Arabidopsis thaliana: one gene and its partner. The protein of the gene in region 1 purifies or fractionates together with the protein of each later gene. This does not show direct contact. Each region holds a gene or a part of one and is shown on either strand. Other genes may lie near its edges.

Evidence for each region. The genes of interacting proteins can lie anywhere in the genome.
Region 2: the proteins of APC7 (region 1) and UVI4 purify together in Arabidopsis thaliana (affinity purification with mass spectrometry, with the first as the bait; one large-scale study listed by BioGRID). This does not show direct contact.

Annotation. Positions count from the first base shown.
Region 1 is NC_003071.7:16,311,126-16,320,713, forward strand, and holds APC7 (tetratricopeptide repeat (TPR)-containing protein), read right to left. Parts: upstream 6,266-9,588; 5' UTR 6,109-6,265; coding exon 6,040-6,108; intron 5,930-6,039; coding exon 5,861-5,929; intron 5,770-5,860; coding exon 5,719-5,769; intron 5,442-5,718; coding exon 5,307-5,441; intron 5,212-5,306; coding exon 5,149-5,211; intron 4,708-5,148; coding exon 4,598-4,707; intron 4,474-4,597; coding exon 4,389-4,473; intron 4,254-4,388; coding exon 4,194-4,253; intron 3,795-4,193; coding exon 3,749-3,794; intron 3,580-3,748; coding exon 3,506-3,579; intron 3,409-3,505; coding exon 3,358-3,408; intron 3,281-3,357; coding exon 3,080-3,280; intron 3,004-3,079; coding exon 2,959-3,003; intron 2,877-2,958; coding exon 2,783-2,876; intron 2,655-2,782; coding exon 2,509-2,654; intron 2,208-2,508; coding exon 1,978-2,207; coding exon of another isoform or gene 1,962-1,977; exon of another isoform or gene 1,884-1,961; coding exon 1,823-1,883; intron 1,733-1,822; coding exon 1,646-1,732; 3' UTR 1,532-1,645; downstream 1-1,531. Other genes in the region: EMB2799 (NAD(P)-binding Rossmann-fold superfamily protein), read right to left, coding at 7-100, 341-513, 796-908, 1,137-1,350; AT2G39100 (RING/U-box superfamily protein), read left to right, coding at 6,337-6,707, 6,788-6,925, 7,033-7,087, 7,227-7,483, 7,675-7,744; AT2G39110 (Protein kinase superfamily protein), read left to right, coding at 8,645-8,663, 8,904-9,280, 9,376-9,588. UniProt on the Arabidopsis thaliana protein: Component of the anaphase promoting complex/cyclosome (APC/C), a cell cycle-regulated E3 ubiquitin-protein ligase complex that controls progression through mitosis and the G1 phase of the cell cycle.
Region 2 is NC_003071.7:17,601,372-17,606,721, forward strand, and holds UVI4 (uv-b-insensitive 4), read right to left. Parts: upstream 2,335-5,350; 5' UTR 2,137-2,334; intron 2,087-2,136; exon of another isoform or gene 1,926-2,086; 5' UTR 1,913-1,925; coding exon 1,523-1,912; intron 1,259-1,522; coding exon 869-1,258; 3' UTR 501-868; downstream 1-500. Other genes in the region: CYP712A1 (cytochrome P450, family 712, subfamily A, polypeptide 1), read right to left, coding at 1-338; AT2G42270 (U5 small nuclear ribonucleoprotein helicase), read left to right, coding at 2,959-5,350. UniProt on the Arabidopsis thaliana protein: Negative regulator of the anaphase-promoting complex/cyclosome (APC/C) ubiquitin ligase required for proper mitotic progression and cell fate determination; inhibits premature cell differentiation.

The DNA.
Region 1 (9,588 bases):
ACAAACCTCGTTGCATTCTCCGTTATCAAAGCAATCATAAGGTGCAGAACTAGATGTGAATAAGAATGATCCTTCGCCATTCCAGTTTGATGCTGCATTCCTGATCCGATTGTAAACACAAGCATACACACATATTAGACAGTTGAATGAAGGCAAATGTTTTTACTGTTGTCACATAGGATGAACTAAAAAGCACAAATTGACGTTTAGCTTCATTTTTCTTCTCCAGCTAATAAAGTCAAGCGCACAATAGTCGACATTTCTGGCATTCACTAACAGATCATAATGCATAAATTGACTTTCTAGTTATTAAAACATAAGATTTTTTGTAATTAATCACCTGACTTCACCAGCATAATCAGCGCTTTGTGATGGTGGAGCACAAAAGATCACATAGGAGAACTTTCCCCCATATTCGGTTCCTTTAAGAGATGGTTTGATACCCAAATTCTCCAACTCACCATGATGATTTGTTGTTACTGTCTGCCCAAAGATTTGAGACTCTGGATGTTCCTGCTCCACATATAAAGCTCTAACTCTAACTTCCATATTGTGAAAAACATGACTCTTACTATATATACGTTGTGAAGAAAAAGTACTAGTCACTATCCACACACACACCATATTGATAAACACTCAAGACACATTAAAACAGGGATTTGCAGGACATCATAAACGTTTTTGTTTTCGTAGTACAGAAACACCATATCTATCGGATGTTCTATAAGAAGAATATGAGTAAGTATCAAATTGAGCTAAGTCCCCTGTAGGGGATATACAACACAGAAATTATACCTGTCTCCACTGTTCTGCAACTAAGCGTCCAAGAACACCCGGTCCAACAATCAGCAGATCGTTTGCTCCAATTGAAACATGAGACTGGACCTTCAAGCCATCACTGGTCTCACCTTCATACAAAACAACATATTAAAAAGGTCACTACTTTGGAGAGGCAGATCACTAAACCTTCATTTACCATATTCTTAGCTTCCTCATCAATGTAATCAGAAATTGTAAATCATTCGAAAGCTCTAATTACCTCACTAAGCATAAAAGATTAACATAGGATTATCTTAAAAGTCAAAGTTCACTAATCCTTAAAGCAGTCGAATTGAAGAAGTAGAGAGTGAAGATACCAATGGTGGAGGAAGAAGAGGCTTGAATAGGGGTCGCCATTAACGAAGACGTTAATGGAAGAAAAAACGAGACTTTGGGTTTATCCTCCTGACGTCTCAAAGCAAACTTAAGTGAATATGAAGAAGACGCTGAAGTCGAGTGCTTGGAAAAGTGGTGAGTCGATAGAATTCTTGAATTGATCGTCGGAAATGAGATGCAAGAGATGAAACCCATTAAGACAAAAAAGCAAAAAGCTTTGGCTTTTGACGACGAAAAAGATTGAGTTGGCGTGGGGAAAGAGATGGGATTCTCCGTGAGACTTTGGTAATGGGTTCTCTTGGTGTGTTTTAACCAATGGCGTATTTACACGTCACGACGTCCAATGTTGTAGAATATTGGTCTTTTTTTTCGTTTCTTTTCATATTCTAAGTTTGTTTATAGGAAACAAAAGGAATGACATTTGCTATTAATATTAATGTTAAGGATTCGATAGTTTTACAGTTTACACACTCTTCTGTCTCTCTACTCTTCACATGAGCTCAGCTTCTTCGGTGTCTCCATCAACATCTTCAACATCGTTCTCGTCATTCTCATCTGTTGCATCTGGGTCTATTCCCTGCAACAAACACCCCAATTTTGTGAATACACTAAACATCATCCTTGTTCGAGCTTCATAATAAAATGGTTCGATTTGATTCTTCCCAACCTTCATTTGTTTCTCCAAGCGATCTAGTCCCTTTTTGGCTGCCTCATTCTGTGGATTTATTCTGCGTTTACATTATTTACACTCTGTTATATCGTTATTGTTTCGCATAGGAGCAACAAGAACTATAAGCACTACTGGCTTAGAATTTCATAAACCTTAATGCAGCTTGAAAGTGTGATAAAGAATCTTGTAGCATATTCGTTGCAGCAAACACTTGAGCTAGCTTGACGTGGAGAGAATCATCTGCATAATCTTTGAGATATCGTTCAAGTAGTGATACAGCATCTCCATTCCTCCCTTCCATTAGATGAAGCTCAGCTAGGGCTAACACAGCTCCAAGGTACCCAGGTTCCAGCCTCAGACCTGACTCGTAAAACTTTTTTGCCTGTTATAAAACCATATCATTCTACTGTTACACCATAAATTTTTATACATAATGTAAAGATCACAAGAAGATACTCACAAGCTCTGAATAGTTTCTCAGATTTGGTATACACTATGCTTATCAAAATTGAGATTTGAACAGTTAAGTTTAAGGAACTTTCCCAGTTTCAATATTTAGTATTATATGCAACTAACTCCCTAAAGCTTTCACCGCTTCTGATTAAGATGTAAAAAATCTGGATAGAATATTGATATGATGAAAATTGACACCATAGAAGCATAACAAAGCTGAATGTTTGTACCTTTTCCCTGCCACTTGATGTAAACGCATGAACATCACCAACTAATTTCAGAGCCTTCGCGGATTGAGGCATTGCATTCATTGCTTCCCTGGCGGTATACAATGCTTCTTTGGTTTTACCAAATGCAAGATAAGAATGGACTAAGCCTGAAATGACCTCAATAGCGCAAGTTAATTACACACTCCAACCTTTTCATGATTGTTAAAGGTTTATACCACCAAAACAGTACAACAGTGGAAGTGTATATCAGATCTTTTTCCCTCGTGAACCAGACCTTGATATGAACGAAGATCGGACCTCAAATTCTGGGCAGCCCTGAAGGCGATCGCTGCAGCTTCTGGTCGTTTTGCTTGTAAAAGTAGATTTCCCTGACGTCTTAACAAATTAGTGGATATATATATATATGCAAACTTACTAAAAATAAATAAACTCCTCGTTGAACTAGCTTACCTTCATTATGTAGCCGGGTATGTGCCTCTCGTCTACCCTGATACTCTGATTGCATAGTGTATGTCATGAGCTATCACACAAAGATTTTGGCACAAAAATTCAGTGTCAGAAAAAAGCTAACCTTCTCAGCATAAGATAATGCCGTCCTTGCATCTTTCCTTTCCCATAGTACAGACAAAGCAACAAATACTTCTGCTCTGGTATGATCAACGCTTAATAAATCGTGGACGAGCTTGTTTAGCCTGGAATAATCACACTTAATCTGAAGCAGCATCGCATACTCATCCATACTGGTTAGTGTGTAAGGATCAATTGACCGAACCTATAAAAGCTTTTAGATGATTATGCATGAATTAAAGAAGTTGAGAATTGAGAAAAAAATATCCATGTGGTGACTACCTTCTCAAATCTCATTATGGCCTCATCATTTTTCCCAATAATGGCTTCAACCTATACAAATGAAATAAATGTCAATCAGCGTCAGTCATGATAAAATGAAAAATTCAGGTGAAATTCTGTTTGCATCGTAGTCGATGTCATCCCTAACCTTTGCTGTCTCAGTCAACAAGTGTACATTATTTGGAAATCGTTGTAAGAGTTCAGCAAAGAGTTCCAGCGCCCCTGAGTAACAAAAAAATATTACACCATATCCAGTAAAGCAAGCATCAGATTGCAGAATTTCCCACAAATAAAATGCAAGAAATGAAATCTACAAGGTTAAAAAAAAAGAACTAAATGCCTTATTTCATCCATTGTAGGCATAGGCATCCCAAAAAGAAAAGAGAGCTACCTTTGTAAGCATGCGAAGCAACACAACACTGGGCCTCTACATAACGCTGTGAAAACAAAGAAAAATTACCGAAAAAGACAAAGAAGAAAATAGATTTTATTGCCAGGTATGCTACAACATGAAACCAATGAAACATCCATCCAAGAAAAGTTATGTGGAGTATTAGTTTCCTGGTTAAATAGTCGAGCTTCTACTAACACAAGAACATCAAAGCACTACTTTGTTAAAGGGAATAATACTATTAAGACGATTTATTCACTTTCCACACATGAACAGCTTGAAGACAGAATTCTTAGAATCATTATATATGAAGTCGTATTCGGGGGAAAATAGTTGATAAAATAAGATTCTAACTCACGTACAATAATCAGCTTGGCGGCATGATTAATGAGTGTACTTTCAAACAATTTTCAACGTTGTAAATCCTGTTAAAGAGTAAGCTTACTTGCAACCAGCGGGTAGGATCTATCTGATCGAGTGAAACCTTTGCACTTCTATTTGAAGTCTGAAATGAACAAATGACACAACAAATTACAAAGTTGTATGGATTTCACACAGAAAAGGTAATTGCAAAATAGAGAGAAAGAGGTGCAAAACACATTTGAAGAAGTGGTGAAAGAAATCTCGTAGAAAGGGACACCTGAGTAAACGATGATATGATATCCTTTGCACTAACTCCCAGTTCAGCTAAACCTATGACGGCTTCAAGTACATAAGGACACTGCCTGCAGAGATTAAAGATTATATATATGTTTACTATGTGTTGAATTGGTATTTAACGTAAAAAGTGAGATATTATAACAGTGTTTCTATGCTAGGAAATGTTGGGAAAGAAAACGAAAAACAGACCTTAAACACTCTTTATAAAAAGCAATAGCACCACGGTTGTATCCAGAATTTCGATGAAGCTTTGCCATCAGTATATTCATCTCTAAGCTCCTGGTCTTGACAGATTCCATCTGGCAAAGAAATAACAAGTGCAAAAATAGATTATAGCTAAGCAGACCATGGCTTTATCATCCCTAATACCTACATGCAGTGTTGGAAGGAATCCAATTAGTTTACTTGTTTTGTAATATGGATTTGCATTGATGGGAGCAGGTCAACGCAACAAAATTCAACTCACATTCAGGAATACTATAACAATGCATTAGTTACGGCCCAAGAATGTTTCACTGAAATTACAGTTACTTAACTCTGGTTATAAAATACAATAGCAAGACATAAAAGTCATCCTATACAAAACCAATCTATAATCTTAGAAATAGAGAAATCCCTAGACAGCTCTTTTACCGTCTCATACACACATATTTTATTTTCTATATACCAAAGTTTCTAGACCAACAAATCCAGAAGACTAAATAAATCTTGAAAACCAGACAAACAGATGACACTCATACCTCAGCAATCGCAGCTTTTGTTTCATTAAGAGCAAAGTGAGATGAAGCAATCTTGAATCTCACCTAAAAGGAAAGTTAGAAAAAGAAGATGCACATGAACTCCAATGAAATTAAACCAAACCACATCACTTTCTGGAAACTGCAACACAGTTATTTACCTCGTTCTCATTAATAGCAGAAATGCTGGAGGCATTCACAGATGATCTGGTAGATAAAGATAATGAACTCCTCGAAATACCGGAGCTTTGCTTCGGAATCCTTGTGTAATGATGCAACGCTTGCTTGTACGTATGCTGACAAAAAGAAGGAATACATATTCAGAATTTCGAGATGACTTCAAAGTAATCCACAGGAAAAGAATAAGCAATACAAATATAAAACTTATCTCTGCTCACTCCATAAATTCATATAATCAGAATCTTTACAATTTTATCATAATCCAGTCAAATTCAAGTTCCGAGAATGATTTATAGAGTTCAAATTTGAGGCAGAACTAAACTATCGAGAACTGAGTAACATTTCCTTCACAGCAAAAGAGAAACATAAAGAATGAAACTTTTGAGAACTTACAATAGCTCTCCGGTGTTCTCTCTGATGAAATAAAGCATCACCCAGTAGAATCTGATTAAAAAACACAGAAAGAATCTAACTTCAATCTAACGGACTCAGCAGCTACTAAAATAGAAAATATCGACGGAGAAAGAAGCTTAACCAAATTCTCCGCCTTGAGCTGAGGACTAGTTTCGGCACTAACAGTAGGAGAAGAAACGAGAAAGCAGCCCTGGATTTAGTTGCATATATAGAGAGAATTTCATTAGCTCTTGATGAAAACTAGGGATTTAGAAAAAAAGAGATAGACAATCAAAATGAGCTAAAAGCTAGAGAAGTTACGAGCATTTCAGCAGAATCGTAAAGCCCATGCTCTATTAAAGTCGCGATCTGCTCCTTTGGAACCTCCATTTCAGAGACAAGAGAGTTCGTCGTTAGTGGCAATGGTGAAGTTTTTTCTTCGGAGCAGCGATGAAGTAAAAGATCCTTCACGCTCGCTCTTCATTTTGAAACAAGAAATCTCGAACCGAGTCAACCCAAACCGACATTAACCGGTTATCTATCTGAAATCCATCTCGGTTCATTAAAACCCGACTTTTCCAAGAGCCCGACTTCACCGAACAATCTCTATCTCCGGTCATGCCTCCATTACCGTCCTCCACGGCGCCTTCGTCTTCGAGACATCTTCGATCGCCGGAAAGTATCGCGAAATTTGCAGGGAGAGCAATATTTCCTGCTTTACAGGGGAAATCGTGTCCGATATGCCTCGAAAATCTAACCGAGCGAAGATCCGCCGCCGTGATCACGGTGTGCAAGCACGGATACTGCCTTGCTTGTATTCGGAAGTGGAGCAGCTTCAAGAGGAATTGTCCTCTTTGTAACACTCGTTTTGATTCCTGGTTTATCGTTAGTGATTTTGCTTCTAGAAAATACCATAAGGAGCAATTACCAATTCTTCGTGATCGTGAGACTTTAACTTATCATCGGAATAATCCTTCCGATCGCCGGAGGTTATCTCTCTCTCTAAGATCCTCTCTATGAAGTTAAAAATCACTTCTTTATTATATTCACTTGGTTATTATTTCATTAGGATAATTCAAAGGTCGAGGGATGTTTTGGAAAACTCTAGCTCAAGATCAAGGCCATTGCCATGGCGGAGATCATTTGGACGACCAGGTTCAGTTCCTGATTCTGTTATCTTCCAGCGAAAGCTTCAGTGGCGAGCTAGGTTGGTTTACTATTGATTCTAACTCTATAGCTTCATTTGCAATCTCCTTTTTCGAAGTGTTAGATTAGTTCGCCGTTGTTTCTAACTAGTGTTGGCTCTAAATACAGCATATACACTAAGCAATTACGAGCTGTTCGATTACATTCAAGGCGCTTGGAACTAGTAAGTTTCATTATACAATGTGTTCTTCTCTGTTTGATGTTTGTAGTATTGGGGTTTACACTCTTACATTATTGGATATATGTTCACATTGGAAGCCTTATATATACCTGCTTCGTTGTGTCATCTTGGATTATTGTAGAGTTTGGCGGTGAATGATTACACCAAAGCAAAGATAACTGAAAGAATTGAGCCATGGATTAGAAGAGAGCTTCAGGCAGTCCTTGGAGATCCTGATCCCTCAGTTATTGTTCATTTTGCGTCAGCTCTTTTCATCAAAAGGCTTGAGAGAGAGAATAATCGACAAACCGGGCAGACCGGGATGTTGGTGGAAGATGAAGTCTCCTCTCTTCGAAAATTCTTGTCTGATAAGGTGGATATATTTTGGCATGAACTAAGGTAAGATTTTTATACGCTAGGGTTTTTTCAGAGTTTCAAGTAGTTACAGGTTTAGTATAGTAGTACAGAAAACACATAGGCAACCTAAACCTAGTGACTTGTAAGTCTGAACAGATGATAGAGCTGATATCTGTTTGGTTTAGGTTTTTTGGTCATATACTATTTCTGATGAGAAAGAAAACATTTTTCAGATGTTTTGCGGAGAGTATACTCACGATGGAGACTTATGATGCAGTGGTTGAATACAATGAGGTGGAGTAATAGCAGTAAAAAAAACAGGTAAAGAAATTAGGATATGTATTATGTGGGTTTGGTTTCACTAAGTAGGAACCTGTTTTGCTTCGATGGTTTTTTTTCTGAAGTCATTATGTTGTATTCGCTTGCAGATAACCGAGCACTATGCTCTCGTCAAATGAAGTAAATAGACAGACTTACAACGCGACTGTTGGTGTCTTGGAAGTTCAATAGTGGAAAGACTGGACCAAGTAAGAGAAACCAAGAGTTAAAGAGTAGGTAGGAGGAAGATGTTGAGATGATGCAAGTTTAGGTGTGGAGTTAGTTTTGAGATAGCTATAGGTGGATTCTCAAATAGCTGACACTTAGTCTCTCTACTTCCATAATGTACGTCTCTTCTATACCAAAAATTCTCACCCCCAAAGTTTCTTTCCAACGCTTTTCCTCACCTCATCATTTTTTCTTACGTTTCGAGTACCACCTATTTCAACAACATTAAATATTTTCTATAATTTGACTATCAATTTTTAATAAATTAAAACTATACATAGTTTTAGATAAATTACACGAAGCTTCCATAGAAGAGGAAAGTTCATTTGAATTTCTCTTCTAAACCGTACCTTAAAGATTAAATGGTGAATATACACGGGGAAATTTTTTTAATAAACAACGCGTTCTCTATTAAGGTATTGATTGATATAAGTAAGCAAGCGGGTGTAACACAAAATAAAATATTATAAAAGGCTTCTTCTATAGGTTGGTAAGCGGCAATCCAGCTGCCATTGCCTATTTGACTTCCCCCATTCGATCATGGTGAGCTCGTCTTCTCTCTTCTCCTCTTATCTCTTTCTCTACCATTTTCTTTTGCTTTAAAGCTCTCTCAATCATGATCATGAAGACCCCCATCACAGCATTCCATTCATCCTCATGAATAATTCTACATCAGGTTTCTTCTCTTTCCCTTTCTGATTCTCAACACTCTTACCACATTTCTACTTTTGTGTTGTATATCGATTTTTGTTCTACATTCTTCCAAATGTCAGGGAATCTAGTTGAAATGTGATGATTTTTGTGTTGATAACTTGATATCTGGTATGGATTGAATGATTGGTGATTATCTCTGTTAATTCATCTCTGATCGTGTTTCTGTTTGTGTTGACTTGGAATGTGGACCTGGTTTGGATAGTGAAGAGGCTGGTTTCATCTAAGGCAATGAAATGTTTCTACTTCAGCAAAGACAAAACTCAGGATGATGAAGCTAAGACTAGAAAGTTTGGTTCAGCTACGATGGCTAGAGGAGGATCAGGGTCTGAGTTTAATTCAGATACAAGTACTGCTACTTCCATTACTTCTTCCTTGCACGTCCTCTCAGAGACACACAGTAATAATCTCAAAGTATTTGTCCTCGATGACCTTAAAACCGCTACCAAGAACTTCAGCCGCTCCTTGATGATCGGTGAAGGTGGCTTTGGTGGTGTCTTTCGTGGCGTGATTCAGAACCCTCAAGATTCTCGTAAAAAGATTGATATTGCAGTTAAACAACTTAGTAGAAGAGGTCTACAGGCAAGCAAATCTTTTTCTCTCTCTTTAGTTTGCTTCTGTTTTACACAACCTCCTTCAGTACCCAACAATAAAAACAACTACGTATGCATTAACAGGGGCATAAAGAATGGGTGACAGAGGTAAATGTATTGGGAGTAGTGGAGCATCCGAATCTGGTGAAGCTGATCGGTTATTGCGCTGAGGATGATGAGAGAGGGATCCAACGGCTACTTGTTTACGAATACGTACAAAACAGAAGTGTTCAAGACCATTTATCCAATCGTTTTATAGTCACTCCTCTTCCTTGGTCCACCAGACTGAAGATTGCT
Region 2 (5,350 bases), 1.3 Mb from region 1:
GAACCAAACTCAGGTCTCGAGGAGAAATTAAGCTCTTGCTCCTTGAAAATCTCTCTCGCCACCGAAGAGCTTGAGACCACAACGCACTTAGAAGCACCGAGACGTATCTCCATGAGTGGGCCATACTTGTGAGCTAAACTTTGGAATGAGACAGGCAATACTTTGCCTATCAAATGAAGGTGGCCAATGAATGGTAAAGCTGGAGGGCTCTGTGGCAGCTTCGTAGCAGCCAATGAACCTTGCTCTTTCAAGAACCATTTGAAGAGAGCATAAAGCATGAAAGGAAAAGCTAAGGATGTGATGAGAATAATTAGTTTAGTGTTTAGTTTTAAATCCATTGCAGGCAGGTATTGATACAATTTTTGAAGTATGCTTGTATTTATATCCAGACACAGACGAATCTTGTTTATTAGATGCTCATTGTAAAGAAAACAAAACAACAGATGTGACCTTTTACCAAATATAAAATGTGTGACGTAACATATATGAAAATTGTTTGATGGGAATTAAAAAAAAAAAATGATTAGAAGTTTTTATTATTCGAAGGCACTTCCTAGATTGTGACAATTACAGATACACACATACAAGAACATCTGCAATTTCTACCAACAAACCAAACTTCTGTACAACTGTTTAACTACAATATCCTGAATCAAGAAGACATCCTCATCATACAAAAAGCCTAAAAGTAAAAGGGATCCAACATAAACCCGTGAACTATCTAACAGTTATCTCCCATATGATATATCATCAGAAGATGAATTTCTTCTTCTTTTTTATCATTAGAAAAATGATAGAATCTCCCTACTATATATCATCACAGAGATGATTACCTCTTTCTAGTGAATCACCAGAGGATGATGAATCATCATCGCATCGACATTAGCGTCCTAACTCTTTTCTCCCTTTCTGCTCTTTTAGCACTAGGAGTGCTCTTCATTTTCTGAATCTCTTCCATCACAACCTTCTCCACTTTATCAATAGAGTTGAGGAGCTTCTTCTCTGGAGTGAGGGCATCTTCTTCCCCTGTGTTTTCTCTTGTGATGTCGAGCAAAATCTGATGGACTTTAGCAGTTGAGGGTGGCCAAGGACGCTTGAATCCAATAGATGGACCGGGAGTAACCATAGAATAGTCGTGCTCGAGATGAGCACCTGACAACGGTACTAGAGAATCAAGAACCCCAAGTTGTTGTGGAGTTGGGGTCTCAATATCTCGGCCAACACCTTCTCCCATACGAGCTCTCCTTCTCTCAATAGCCTGCATATAAGAGTTTGTAAATAGCCAGACTAAGCAAGCCTTTTGGTAACAGGTTATGACTTATGATATAGTTAACAAAGAGGCTAAGCAAGCCTGTTACAGAAGACTAATCTAGCTTATAAGCAGCAGATTCTGAACCAATATGCAAATCACAAACCAGATATAAACAGATCACAAATTAGCTATATATCAATGAAAAAAACTCCAGTTAAATCTAAGAATAAGCAGACAAATCCAAAATGAGACTAGGTTTAGTGAACTAACCCTAACAACGGCAGAAATATCACGGAGGGGCGTTCTTGGATACCAAGAAGGTAAGACAGAATTTGAAGCACGAGCCCTTCCACGCCTTGTAACACCCAAGCTCATGTTCTCTCGTCCCTGTGGCGATCTAAATTGAATTTGACCTCTTCTACCACCACCAGTCCGCCGAATACCGAAATTACCCCTCACAAGCCCACCTCTTCCCGTCATAGATCCTTGACCAATTGACCCAAGTCCTCCTGTAGCTTCCGATGGCACTCTCTGAACCGGAGACCCAAACAAATTGTGCTGTGTTGCTGGTTCGTCAAGTAAAATACCATGCGAGCGTCTATTGAGAAATGCGGCTGGGTAATCAACTTGCCTCTCTATTCGATCTCGTGCTTCTGGCATTTGTGATTGAGCGCTGAAGAAATCAAACAACTATGCCATTAGAACACACCCAAAATCGAAATCGCAACATTAAAACCCAAGAACTCAGTCTTGTTCTCCATTGTTAATCAGATTTTCTCGAAACCTCATAAACAACAAGAAAAAGAGATCAACTCTTCGTTTTCGCAACAAATCTCCGTCACATCACAAAGAACCTACTTGAACAAATCAAACCATGGATTTACCTATGAATCTTCAATAGATTCCTTCGTGATAGCTCGGAATGGCTTCGTGAACGGTAAAGTGGAGGGGACAAAGGAGAAAAAGAGAGAAAAGCTTTTGAGAGAGAGACGATCTGGCAAACAAAATTTAGACCATTTTCTAGGCGGGTTTTGTAATTGAAAATGAAAAATTTCGAGCTCGCACGTGTCAAAGTGGTTTCACCTGTGTGAAATATTTTGAATTTTTCATCTCACGCGGGATAAATTTCGTTTTTTTTCAAAGCGCACATTGTCACAATTCGTCAAATTCTTTGTCAGATTTCAATTTTGCCCTTCTGAATAAAACTGGGCTTGTGGCCCAATTCTATTTACGTACGCATTGCTTTCAAGATCGAATCCTCACCGTTAATTGTCATAGGATCCAACCGCTGCTTTTTACTAATACCAGAAAACCGGATTGGCTAGTTGGTACGGTCTAATGATACGATAACTTGCTCTGATTATACGAAAACACTCATCAAGAACCAACTCTAATTAATGTTTTCTTCTAATTATAGTTAAAACGGATTGAACCGGACAATTCCATAATTTTAGTCGGCTTCCGGACAGGCCTTCGTGGGTTTGGAATTTGTGGCCGACAATGTATTGTCGGTTTAAGACTTGTTTAGGGTGTATATATAAGACTGTTGAACGAAAAAAAAAAAAAACTCATCGACTCGATCAAATTCTTAAGACGACGATTACGGAGAACGGGAGAGAGGTAATAGAAGAGTTTTTCGTTCCGAATTTTGTTTTGTTTCATTGATTTAATTCTTGGAATTTGGGGTTTGTTTTTCCGATTTGGTGATGACGAATTTGGGTGGTGGTGGTGCGGAGGAGCAAGCCAGGTTGAAGCAGTATGGGTACAAAGTCAATTCCAGTCTTGTTCTTAACAGTGATGAGCGTCGTCGTGATACGCATGAATCTTCTGGTGAACCGGAGAGTCTCAGGGGTAGGATTGATCCGAAATCCTTTGGAGATCGTGTCGTTAGGGGAAGGCCTCATGAGTTAGATGAGCGGCTTAATAAATCTAAGAAGAAGAAGGAACGTTGTGATGATTTGGTGTCTGCTCGTGAGAGCAAAAGAGTTCGTCTTAGGGAGGTGAGTGTACTTAATGATACGGAGGATGGTGTTTATCAGCCGAAGACTAAGGAAACAAGGGTTGCTTTTGAGATTATGCTTGGTCTTATCCAGCAGCAATTGGGTGGGCAGCCTTTGGACATTGTTTGCGGTGCGGCTGATGAGATTTTGGCAGTTCTTAAGAATGAATCCGTCAAAAACCATGAAAAGAAGGTAGAGATTGAGAAACTACTAAACGTTATTACTGATCAGGTTTTCAGTCAGTTTGTTTCGATTGGAAAACTGATTACAGACTATGAAGAGGGTGGTGATTCTTTAAGTGGTAAAGCTAGTGAGGATGGAGGACTTGATTATGATATTGGTGTTGCCCTTGAATGTGAAGAGGATGATGATGAGAGTGATCTTGATATGGTCCAGGATGAAAAAGATGAGGAGGATGAAGATGTTGTTGAGCTTAACAAAACTGGAGTTGTCCAGGTGGGTGTGGCAATAAACGGCGAGGATGCAAGACAGGCAAAGGAGGATACGAGTCTTAATGTTCTGGATATTGATGCTTATTGGCTTCAGAGAAAGATATCTCAAGAATATGAGCAGAAGATTGATGCACAAGAGTGCCAGGAACTCGCAGAAGAGCTGCTTAAGATACTTGCTGAGGGTAATGATAGGGATGTTGAGATCAAGCTGCTTGAGCACCTTCAGTTTGAAAAGTTCAGCCTTGTTAAATTTCTGTTGCAAAACCGTCTTAAAGTTGTGTGGTGCACCCGTTTGGCTAGGGGAAGAGACCAGGAAGAGAGGAATCAAATTGAGGAGGAGATGTTGGGGTTAGGTTCAGAGTTGGCAGCAATTGTTAAGGAGTTGCATGCCAAAAGAGCAACAGCCAAAGAAAGGGAGGAGAAACGGGAGAAAGATATCAAAGAAGAAGCTCAACATCTTATGGATGATGATTCTGGTGTTGACGGAGACAGAGGCATGAGAGATGTTGATGATTTAGATTTGGAGAATGGTTGGTTGAAGGGCCAGCGTCAGGTGATGGACCTGGAGAGCCTTGCTTTTAACCAAGGTGGTTTCACGAGGGAGAATAACAAGTGTGAGCTTCCTGATCGCTCTTTCAGAATACGTGGCAAGGAATTTGATGAGGTTCATGTGCCGTGGGTTTCTAAAAAGTTTGATAGTAATGAAAAGCTTGTGAAAATTAGCGATTTGCCAGAGTGGGCCCAACCAGCTTTTAGGGGAATGCAGCAGTTGAATAGGGTTCAGAGCAAAGTGTACGGCACTGCTCTTTTTAAGGCTGACAACATTCTTCTTTGTGCTCCAACTGGTGCTGGGAAGACCAATGTTGCCGTGCTCACCATACTGCACCAGCTTGGATTGAATATGAACCCTGGTGGAACGTTTAATCATGGTAATTACAAAATTGTCTATGTTGCACCAATGAAAGCCCTTGTTGCTGAGGTCGTGGATAGTCTATCTCAACGTTTGAAGGATTTTGGAGTTACTGTGAAGGAACTCAGTGGGGATCAGTCCCTTACTGGGCAAGAAATCAAAGAGACTCAGATAATTGTTACAACGCCAGAGAAGTGGGATATCATCACCAGGAAATCTGGAGATCGCACTTATACACAGCTTGTGAGGCTTCTTATAATCGACGAAATTCATCTTCTTGATGATAATCGAGGGCCTGTGCTTGAAAGTATTGTCGCTAGGACTCTTAGGCAGATTGAAAGCACAAAGGAGCATATTCGTCTGGTAGGTTTATCTGCAACACTGCCAAATTGTGACGATGTGGCTTCATTTTTGCGAGTGGATCTTAAAAATGGGTTGTTTATATTTGACCGTAGCTACAGACCTGTGCCTCTCGGTCAGCAGTATATAGGAATTAATGTGAAAAAGCCGTTACGGAGGTTCCAGTTGATGAATGATATATGTTATCAGAAAGTAGTGGCTGTTGCTGGAAAACACCAGGTCCTTATTTTTGTTCATTCGAGGAAGGAAACAGCAAAAACTGCAAGGGCAATACGGGACACAGCTATGGCAAATGATACCCTCAGCAGATTCTTGAAGGAAGATAGTCAAAGTCGTGAAATTCTTAAGTGTTTAGCTGGACTTCTCAAGAATAATG